Linked DNA regions of Drosophila melanogaster. The protein of the gene in region 1 interacts with the protein of each later gene in a pairwise test. Each region holds a gene or a part of one and is shown on either strand. Other genes may lie near its edges. The genes, in order: Lip3, pie and CG11286.

Region 1 (3,757 bases):
TATAGTGGAGGAATTAATTATTTATTATTCCTTCAACAGGTTGTGCTTAAGGTTTCAAGATCCCCGGATAGCGATGGAGACTACGAGAAGGTTTTGACATTCGAAATGCAGCTTTGCGACTTTATGAAGAGCTACTACAAGGATATCTTTTACGAACGGATCAAGGAATACTCGAATGCCCCGCATCCCAGCAGCTGTCCTCTGCCCAAGGAACGCTATGTACTAGAGGACTATCCCTTCAATGTCAAGTTGCTCAAAAAGCTGATGAGTCCGGGCTTCTATCGCATAAAGTATACCCTCAAGAATGAAGAGACTAAAATATTATCGTACGTTCTGGATTTGGAGTTGGAGGAGAACTAATCAATCTCGAAATTTGCTAGCTCAAATGCTCCGTTTATTGCCTGAAAAATAAATCTATTCGTAGGATTGCATCTGCTTCAAGACCTCGTCGTAGACGTATTTTCTGGCCTCAGTGCCCCAAATGAAATCCAGATGGGCCCACTTCTCGAACGGCACCAGGTAGTCCAGCGCCATGTTGGGCAGTTCGTCTCTCAACTTGCGGACATCGCTCACATCGCACATCCAGTCATTGGCTCCGTAGTACAATAGAACCGGGGCCTTGGCATTCTTTAGCTTGTAATCCGGAGGGAAGTAGCTGCCGTACTCATAGGGATTACGGAGAGCGGTGTAGTCGAATTTACGGAACTTTCCAGAGTTATATTCCTGACAAAAGTGCAAGTTCTGGTTCACCGATGCGCCAGCCGGAGACGTGGCCTTGATGTGCTCAAGGAGTTCCTGACCAAATGGAGAGCAGCATTATAAGTTACATGGAAATATAATTTATAGGACCAAGTTCATTTCCAGATACTTACGTAGTCCAGCTGTTCGGTATCATAGCCTCCAATCAGGAAGATCTCGTTGGCGCACATGTCGGCATAAGGAGAAGTGGCCTGGCACATCTCTATGCCCAAATCCTGCTTGAACTTATTGCTGGGCATGAACTCCATGGATCCGCAGACCTCCACGATGGCATTGGGCTGGCCCAAAATGGGTGCAAAGGCGCGGGTCAAGGGGCTCTTCATGTTGCCCATATAGGCGGCTGGTCCCAGAAGATGGGCGGACTTGATCTTGTCATTGTACTCGGGTCTCTCCGACACCATCACCAGATAGACAGTGGTACCCTGGGAGTGGCCCACATATTGCACCTGCTGCTGTCCAGTCTTTGCCAAGACATAATCAATCATCGCCGGAACGTCGTACATGCCGATCTCGTTCCAGCTGAAGTTCCAGAAGATCTGCCAGTAAGTGGGCCAGTACTTGTGCGCCTTGGAGTAGGTGTTGCCTCGGGCATTGCCCATCCACACATCGTAGCCGGCATCGGCCAGCATATAGGCCAGGGATCGCTCTGGACCCATGAGCACCCAATCGGAGGAAGAACTCAGCATGCCGTGCATGAGGAAGGCCACCGGTCGGTTGGAAGATTCACCCGTTTTGGGGGAATACGGGATGCGGTGCATAGTCAGGATGTAGTTGTCACTGGTGACCACCTCGTGGCGCTCCATCGGGTAGCCATCGTCTTCAATGCGCTCACCCTACAAAACAATTAAATGTATGCTTATTTTTAATTAATTTTAATTTGTAAATAAAAAGCAATTAAATGGTTTCACTCTGTCAAAAGAAAAACCAAATAATAAATAACAAATATGTAATATTAAATTGTTTTCAAACTCTTAAATTTTTACTTACGCAATCAGAAATAGGCCGAGATCCGGCCAAAACCAGGCCCAATCCGACCAGTAAAATGGTCACTTTTAACGCTCCTCTTGTCATCGCAGTACTATGATCCGTGTGGTTCGGGATCACAGCTTTTATAGCCCCTTGACCACTATCTATCCATTGATAGTCACAAACAATCAGATTTATTGGCAAACGCGTACGAAGACCCCCAAGAAATCAGTTAAATATATATGAGAGTTAGATACACCTGGCCTAATCAGCTTCTTGTTTAGATTGAAATCGCGGGTCTCAAATTTACAATCTAAAGAAACCCAAACACCCCGCCAAAACGACGGATTTTCTTATCGATTTTCAATTATTTTGGTACCCCTTACTTTAAAAAGTCAAGCATATAAAATTTCCATTTATTTCAAGACATTTGCCTTTTAAGAGACCTTTTATTATATCACCAATGGAAATTTATAAAAAAAAAAAATTATACTAAAACATTAATAACAATAGGCTACCCTTAAATTCGGGCACATTAAAAATTGAGAAGAGGGTATTCTGCAGCTCGATCTTTTTAATAAGGCATATAATTTTTATTATTATTTGCAAATACGTAATTCGTTGAAGATAATTGTTAAATATAGAAAATCCGATTGCAAATGAAAACAATAAAATGCCTGAATCACGCCAGCAACATGTTGCTAGTGTCGTCGGCAACATGCAGCACTTATGCAGCAGCAACATGTGCGCACATTAATCCTTATGCGGCCCAGTTAGCACTTTAGCCCGACTTTGTAGCCTGGTCATCAAAATCAGGGCTTGTGTGATATCGATTTATAGAGGCCACACATGATTGGTCTGCCGATGGTGTATAATACACGTATCTCCCGAGCCGGCTGCCCCTGACGACGTGACCATAACATTGGCATTCTTGGCCCGAAGGCATATTACCATATCGCACTTATGACAGTTCAAGCCATAATTCAGTCTAGAGTGGAGCTCATTTTCAAAGGATTTCCAAAATGAAACACCAACAAGTTACGGTGGACTATTGGACCATGTTTAAGACATCGGGATTGTGTCTTTTACTGGCCATTTGCGGATTTGTACTTCTTAAGTAAGGACATTTACTAAACTATTCAATACTCAATACTTAATGCGCAATGTACAAATTTGTAATGTGATCATAATACCTGGCACCTTATAGTACCAATTATTTCTTATAGAATGGTGCAGACCATTTTCTGGCTACCTGGACATCTGAAGAAGAACCAGCAGCGCCTGGAGGATCTGGCCAAAATCTATGCCAAGGATATTAGCGAGGAAGAGAGGGACGAGATCGAGAAACTGTTCAACAGTAAGGAGCCGCTGACTGAAGAACGAATCAACCAGTTGCTCGACAAGCCAGAGACTTCAGAGCCAAAAAAGGAGCAATAGTTAAATAAATTGATTCGCATGTTTTATATATATATATATATATTTATGTATATTGAGTGTATAATCGATAATTTGTTGATACAGGTTCTAGTTCTTACTTGCATATCGTATATGTAACTCGCAACACAATCAATCGTTTAACCAATCCATCAATAATGCCTGTAACGCTCAATTATTCAGGGAGGGGGACAACAAATAGAATAATAACTATTCACGAAAGTCGCTCGTCTGTGGAGCGGTTACAAGTTATATCCATATTAGCTACTGATATAGGCGGACTCAGAGCCCTTTCCTGCTTCAAATCGGTCGTTTCTGGTGGCCCATCGATTTTGCCAGCGACCTCGACATCTCAACCTCGGAATGTATCTAACTAACAAACTCATATCAAATATAAGCAAGTGCGCCAATTCGTATGCATATCGACATATGGACATATGGACATATACATATAGATAGTCTATATTAATTTTAAAAGCTCAAAGGGGCGCAAGTCTCTCTCATCAGTTGTGTCTTTAGTTTTTTTGATTTGGTTTGGTGATACCTGCATCTGCCGCCGACTCCACCTGACCACAAAATATCACTTGAGTATCTTTTG
Region 2 (3,757 bases), on another chromosome or scaffold:
CTACTGAATCTTCGCCACAGCTTATCAGTTGTTGCGTGTGATTCGCGTACGACAGGGCGGAAACTTTGTTGCTACATAATCAGAAGTGCCGATTACTATCTTATTTTATGAATATTATTTAAGATTGGAGATACCTATGTCCCTGCAGCTCGTAAATGGTGCCACGTTTGCCACCAACATCCCAAACTAGCACGGACTGATCGCAAGCTCCGCTAAACAAGAGCTGAGGGCCTTCCACCCATTTGAGGCACCGGATTTCCGCTAAAAATTAACCAATTCGTATATAATTAGCTTACTAAATATCATTTGTAACTTGTTTACCCGAATGTCCATTGAAAGTGGTAATTAGTTGCACTCCCTGAACATCGCACCTTAGCATTGTTATCTGTCCAGCATGATCGCCCACAAAGGCATACTTGGCCAAAGCGTCGAACCTAAACGCAGATTATAATTAATTATATGTTGCTTATAGAATATTTCGCACAGTGCACACATTTATGCCAAAATTTTGTGTAGATAAAATGACTCAGTTGACACGTCATTAACAATAGAAGGTTCTCAAATTCTAAATGAATTCCATAGCCGTGAAGAATTGCAGTTTATTGCCGTGTCAAAGAAAGCAGTTTAATCCAATTAAATGACCCGCTTATCCCATATCCACTGTCGCACCCCCTTCCCCCTTTCACCATCCATTTATCATACTTACTGGAGAGCCGTGCATGGTGTCTCAAAGTTGTATCCGCCCACCCGTTTGCCGCTCTCCGTGCAATGATAGGCGAACTGCTTATCTTTGCCGGCGGAGAGTATCCACTTGTGGGTTTTCGAGAAGACCACGGCCATGACCCGCGCTTGATGGGACAAGTAATCCCGCAGGAAGGACAGGCGATTGCAGTCTTCGGATAGCGCGTACTGGGTGACCGTTCCGTTTTCCTGGCCGACGTACAGGTGCCGGGATTCCGAAACGTACTCGATGGCCGTGCAGCCGGAAGGCATATACTGGCAAATGCTAGGCCAATATTGACCAGAATCGCGTTTTAGCCAAACGCGAACGGTTCTATTGGGGAAAACATGAAAATGTCAGGCATACCATTTGTGTATATTTTTAATGGGCTACAGCTACGCACTTGTCATCGGAAACGCTAATTACGCCGTTTTCGCCCGGAATTAGGATCGCTGCGTTCACATCGTCGCTGCTGCCCTCCAGCTTACTCAGCAATTCCGGCTTTTTGGAGGTGTTAAAGCGATCATTGTTGGTCCGCTGAGCTGGTTTTATCTCGGCAGCCATATTATTTAAGGTGGATCCAGTCCGATGGTACGCCTACGCCCTATTTAACGCACTCGATGATAATGCGGTTATAAACAATCCGATTCTCGGACTGGGGAAGGTGAATGGAGATACGTGATTCACAATCAATTAACAAAACTGTGTTATTTTGTTTAACATTAAATATACTGAACTTTGTTGTTGGAAAGCTCGTCTAGATAGCGACGCCAAGTTTAGGAATGCTGCGGAATAGTGGAATCGATGAAATGAAAATAGAATCTTAATTGTTAGATATAGTTTTTGCGTATTATTGTATATTATTTTGCTATTAAAAATACTGAAGGTATTTCGTGTGATGTGTCGCAGCATTATGTATGCATATGCACGCACCACATTTTATAAACATACAAACGAGCATTTGAATCTTGAATCTCAGAAATCGCTTTATAAATGTATAGTCTTATGATTTTCATAATGGCATATCATATCTAATAAAACCTACGGACCACGCACAGTTATGTTTCCGGTTATCATGCTATTTAATTATTAATCACAAAATATTTGTTTATATTGTGTTAAGTTTTTAATACGTTAAAATTTATTATTACACATAAATAAATAATTTTATTATAAGTAGGGTTAACGCAAAATATAGCTAGTTAAGCAGATTAGATCATTGTGAGTGTTGCTCAGTGGAAACAGAGCTTTTCCAAAAATGTGCTTGGTGGAATTGAAGTATAATAAGGCGCTGTTGTATTTATTGTTTTTCAAAATCCTTGCCCGCCAATAGAGTAAAAAAGGAATGCAAAACATGTTGATAGTTTTAAAAATTATTCATAATAGCACTCAAACGAGTTGATCTGTCCAGCAAAACTAGTCTGAGCGGCCAGCTTACAAATGGAAGATAACAAGGAGCTGCAATGCTTAATATGCAAATATTCGGACACTGACGACCTGGTCTTTGGCGAATGGATGATTGTACGCAATTTGCAGGTGCACTATTTTTGCCTGGTAAGTGCGATTGTTGTGAAATGAAGAGAACTCCCGCTAATGTAAACTTCCTGATCCAATCCACCAGCTACTCTCAACGCATTTGCCGCAGCGCGGCGGAGATAGCAGTGGAATCCTGGGATTTCTGCTTCGCGATATCCGCGAGGAGGCAGCCGCCGCGGAGAAGAGGAAATGTTGGTACTGCAATAAGATTGGGGCCAGTTTGCAATGCGATCGTTGCCGGTCATTGTTTCACCTGAAGTGCGGCCTGGAGAATCGCGCCGTTTTCGAGTTCTGCGGCCAATACAAAAGCTACTGCTACAAATGCAGGCCGATGGATGACTACAAGCGACAGCTGCAGTCGAATCCGCCGAGGAACGCCACTTGCCCCATCTGCTTCAGTTCCATCTATAAGGTAGAGCTGCATTGCGTTGTGTACGGTGACTGCTGCCGCCTCGGATTCGCCCATAAGAAATGCATGCGTCAGTACGCTCTGACCTCCGGATATTACTTGCGTTGCATTTGGTGTCGTTCGGAACGTTTCAGGGATTCCATACGCCTGCAGTCGGTATTCGTGCCCGATCGCGATGCCACGTGGGAGAAGCAACGGAACGCCTATAGGGAGCTCCACGAGCGCAATCTGAAATGCGACCAGCCCAACTGCCTGTGCCCCAGTGGTAGAACTTATAATAGATTATCGTGGGTGATACTATGCTGCAGTTCTTGTGCCGCCACTTCGGCTCATCTTAAATGCTTGGTGGGCGCCCTGCGACTGCCGAAGAAGCGCGAGCGTACAGATTTCAAGTGCTCTATGTGCCTGGACGTGGAGAGGAGGATTGCTGAAGGACCGGCTCGCACAACAGAAGAAACCAATGCTGACGGCGACAACCAGGTGGATGGCTCTTTTTATGTGCAAAAATTGGGACCCGATGCTGCAACTCGATCCTTAACCCAGACTCCTGTTTTCTCCGAAGAAGACGAAAGCGAACGAAGTAGTAATATCACGGTTATATTCAGCCAACCGAAATCTAACGCAACAAGCGAGAGGTTATCCTTATCGCCGCCACAGGAGGAGATGATAGTGGAAATTCCTGATTCGCCAGAGGCGTCGCCAAAGACGTCCATCGATGAGAACCACTCGCCGCAGCCAATAGCAAGAAGGGACACATCCGACTCACCACAGCCAATAGCAGCAAGTGAGATCCCCGACTCACCGCAGCCAACAGCAGCAAGTGAGATCCCCGACTTACCGCAGACAACAGCAATAAACGTAAACCCTGAATTAACGCAGCAAACAGCATTAAACACGATTCCACACTCACCGCAGCCAGAAGCCAGCTTCTCAACGCAGCTAGTATCACAAACTTTCGATTGTCCACAGCCGCAGGAACAAGCTGTGGCGAAAGCTCCCAACTCACCGTCACTGCCGAAAGAGGATCCAAATACTTTACTTGTGCTAAAATCGGGCTTTCAATGCCCTGGCGAACCATTTTTCTACTTGGT
Region 3 (3,554 bases), 5.6 Mb from region 1:
TAAACATTTGTAAATTTGCTCTTTTTCAGGTGTATACACGGTGCAAACAAAACTCGACTGAACGGCTAAAAAATGGTCATAAAATAGCATTTGACAAATGACGCACTTCCTGTCAACGCACACAATCACAAACGCATACAATCACACACGCACACATTTATCCCTTATCGGTAACTTGTAAAAAGAGGTCGAAACAATTGCATTGCTTTTAAACATGAATCTGCTCACATAGTTACACAGTTTAACAATATAATAATTCATTGTTTGAATTTATTTATGAGCGCAGCTCAAATATTTAATATGCACAAACGGCAGTTTGTTTAAATGTAATTTAGTGGAATAATTAAACAAATGCGGATTTTATTCAAAACTATTTAGTTGCTGTCCGATTGACTAACCTTTTTGTAAACGAGATCCTATTAAAATTTAACAAGTAATCATAAAATACATTTTCTTACAGTTCTTACGCCAGCCATCCAATTTGTTAGCTCACTAACTTTGCAGCGAAATTATAAAAAAGGCTTTAATTGCATAATTAAATTTATTGGCTGTACAATTTTCCATAAGGTAATTTTATCAGTTTTGCAGAGAATAATTGCAAAATTAAATGAGCTAATTAAACCATTTCCAAGTGGAATAAAAAGGCTCATTTACTTTGCAATTGGATCAGTTTTAGCAACCCAGACTTAAATCCGTTTTCAACAGATACTCGACGCGACGTTTTTCCTTAGGAGGCAGTTGAAAGAATTTTGAGACAAAGTTATTCAGTTCCCTCTTTGTATGCAGTGGGGGCCACATTGTTTTATAGCACAGGATTCTAGAAAAGCCACGAAAGTCCCGGTTAATTTATGTTATCATTTCTAACTTTTAGCTTACTTCTTCAGGAAAAACTGGTCGCAGATATTGCGTTGATTGGCAATAATGTGCTCCATTTCGTGAAGGAACTGCCTATCATATTTCGCTTTGGAGTCCAGATACCGCACATAGCAATTAAGATCGCTGGAAATAATGGTGTGTCAGGAAACCTAAGTAACTCAGCAAGTTCTTTCTTAACTGACTACTGAAAGTGCTTTATATCGTAGCTGGGATGCAAACTGGCATCGGCCTCGTCGTGGAACTTGATCCTTGGCTCATACCACTCGTCGAGCTCCTGGAGACGATGGAACTCATATCGGGAAGCAAGTCCTGACAAGGAAACCAACGAAGTGGTCTTCGTCCTAGTCAGGAATTCCTCCACTTTCTTAGCCTTCTCCTGGGCCTTGGCCACAAACTTCGCGTTGAGGCGGTGAACTGGTACATTTTTACCCCGCAGGACATCTCCCGCTGAGGGGATCGACTTAATGGTTACAAGGCTCGTCGCGGACATGTTGAAAATTTGATACTGCTCTTGGGAAACTGGAGATTTTTGAGATATATTAAATGGCTTATTTATGCGGTGACTACTTTGATTCGACAATTAACGCTTTAATAAATACGCCACATAGTTGTCACCGTCAACAACATCTGAGTCCTTGGGGAATTATTGTTTTAAGCCGCTGGTGTTTATAAATATACATGGAAACAGCCGAGAACATCATGAGGATTCATCAGACGATATATGGAAAGGGGTCAGGCTGCTGTATTTTATTTACACGGCCATTCACATTGGCATTTCAAAAATCATTCATTAATTTTTTAATTCAACAATCAGGCTGGTTCAAAGTGGCGTGGAATAAAAACCAAAAAAGGAATCTCTGTAATAATATCACATGCAATTATTGCAGGCAATATGCATGCAATTATGCTAAAGGATATCCATTGTAAAAAAAACTTTGCAAGTGAGCCCGAAATAGAGTTGCGAACTCGAAAGTTCTCAATGCGATTGGATAGCCTTTGTAATTATGATGTCCCTAAAAAAATGAAAAACTAACAGGGCCCTGTTCGAACTTTCATTGACTTATTTGTACCCTTAATAATGGTCCCTCCTAATAATCTATGAGGAGTAGTGCGACTGCTAATCTACCCACATTTGCACCCATTATCCAGGTGTGGTCGAAAATTATTCTCAAAAAGATTCCACACATTTTCGCGCCATTAAACATGCATTCGCGCATTTAATTTCATTTTTTGAACCGCCCGAGTTGACGGAACAGAGCCATCAGCCGGACCACAAGAGTGGCCCACTGAAGGGGGAATAGGAGCTGCCGCCGACAGGAGAGTTGGCCAATGTTTGCACAGCAAAAACATGGCCCAAAACGCTGGGTCTATTAAGAGCACATTTGACCAAAGTCGGGGCTCCGGCACGTGTGCAATGAAAACAAACGAGCCCATTATTGTTACACTTTTCTTTGGCAACCGGCCGCAGAGACCATTAATGATGTGTTATGGCCTCAAGAGGCCGGCCTAGCCGATCCTTGAACTTTGGCCAGGCAGAGCCTGTGAATTGAACTCTAATTGCAGATAATGAATTGCTCGCATTAGGTCAACGAACAGTCGTCCGGATTGCCGCAAAGTGCCTAATGGAAATGCAATGAACTATTTATGGGCATAAGTAGCCAGCAATTGGCTGACTGAAGTTTGATCACGCACTGGGATTATTAATGCCGAGACAGGTCGACTTCCCTTTAAAGTGCTCATCTCATCAATTTGTGGATGTTTTCCCTTGGCCTTTTGGCCAACCGTCATTTTGGTCGCCACAAAATTGACAGCAGCTTTCCCACAGCGCGTAATGACAAAACAGTGACTAAAATGTTAACAACAAATCCAATTTATTTCACCGACCGGCCTACGAGGGACATTAATTACCAGATGGATCACGTATAAGGTATTAAATGCAAACTCAATCTGCCAATGGGGAAATGGCCAAATAACAGAGTGGTTGGTCAAATCTGGGCACACAAACTAACACAATCTGCTACTAATTCCCACAAACTGCATTTAAAGATAGCGGATTTCATTTAATAGAATGTGTTCACCGCCATTGATAATATTAATATAAATATAAATATAAACGTCATTCAGAAAAAGCGTTAAACAATAAACAATAAACATTGACAATGGTCGATGGTCAACGAGAGTGTAAACAACAAGATTTACTGCCATATGCTAGGGGATTACGGGTGTAATTGTACGCCACTTCGAAATGACATTGAACCAGACATGAAAATTGATTTTGGGCCTGATGCCGAGTCCATTACGGAAATAAGTTTGCTGAGCACTCGGACCATATTTTCAAAAACATTTGTTTATTGGGCAATTATTTTACTGGGTTGCCGGCGGACTTCGCCCCGGCAGAATGAAACAATTTCACTTATGCACAAGTATTTCATATTGTCACAAATTCATTTTCATTTCAAGCCCTCGCTCCAGTGTCCCCAAAATTCAGCAATCCAGACATAATCTCTGTCAAGCCCACACACATTTTTGCACAGATGTTTGAGCAACTCAACTGAGACTTTAGAGACTTTGCTGCTTCCTTCATTGTTAGTGGGTCCATGGTCAAGTTTTAATTTATTTGATGACTGCGAAATTGTGCACCTTCTTCTCCAGTGGAGGAAGTCCCAGGATGACTTCTG

The links.
Region 2: the proteins of Lip3 (region 1) and pie interact in a two-hybrid assay, tested with the Drosophila melanogaster proteins (one large-scale study listed by BioGRID).
Region 3: the proteins of Lip3 (region 1) and CG11286 interact in a two-hybrid assay, tested with the Drosophila melanogaster proteins (one large-scale study listed by BioGRID).

The regions. Positions count from the first base shown.
Region 1 is NT_033777.3:13,369,917-13,373,673, forward strand, and holds Lip3 (lipase 3), read right to left. Parts: upstream 1,989-3,757; 5' UTR 1,831-1,988; coding exon 1,747-1,830; intron 1,593-1,746; coding exon 873-1,592; intron 796-872; coding exon 415-795; 3' UTR 361-414; downstream 1-360. Other genes in the region: CheA87a (chemosensory protein A 87a), read left to right, coding at 40-360; CG34309 (uncharacterized protein), read left to right, coding at 2,748-2,842, 2,952-3,162.
Region 2 is NT_033779.5:10,421,048-10,424,804, reverse strand, and holds the start of pie (pineapple eye), read left to right. Parts: upstream 1-2,024; 5' UTR 2,025-2,161; coding exon 2,162-2,275; intron 2,276-2,342; coding exon 2,343-3,757. Other genes in the region: Wdfy2 (WD repeat and FYVE domain containing 2), read right to left, coding at 1-71, 135-261, 322-434, 707-1,054, 1,125-1,285. UniProt on the Drosophila melanogaster protein: Required for survival of imaginal disk cells possibly by regulation of cell apoptosis. Required for germline stem cell self-renewal through mediation of BMP signaling.
Region 3 is NT_033777.3:7,770,335-7,773,888, forward strand, and holds CG11286 (uncharacterized protein), read right to left. Parts: upstream 1,423-3,554; 5' UTR 1,367-1,422; coding exon 1,059-1,366; coding exon of another isoform or gene 1,058-1,058; exon of another isoform or gene 1,000-1,057; coding exon 877-999; intron 818-876; coding exon 673-817; 3' UTR 526-672; downstream 1-525.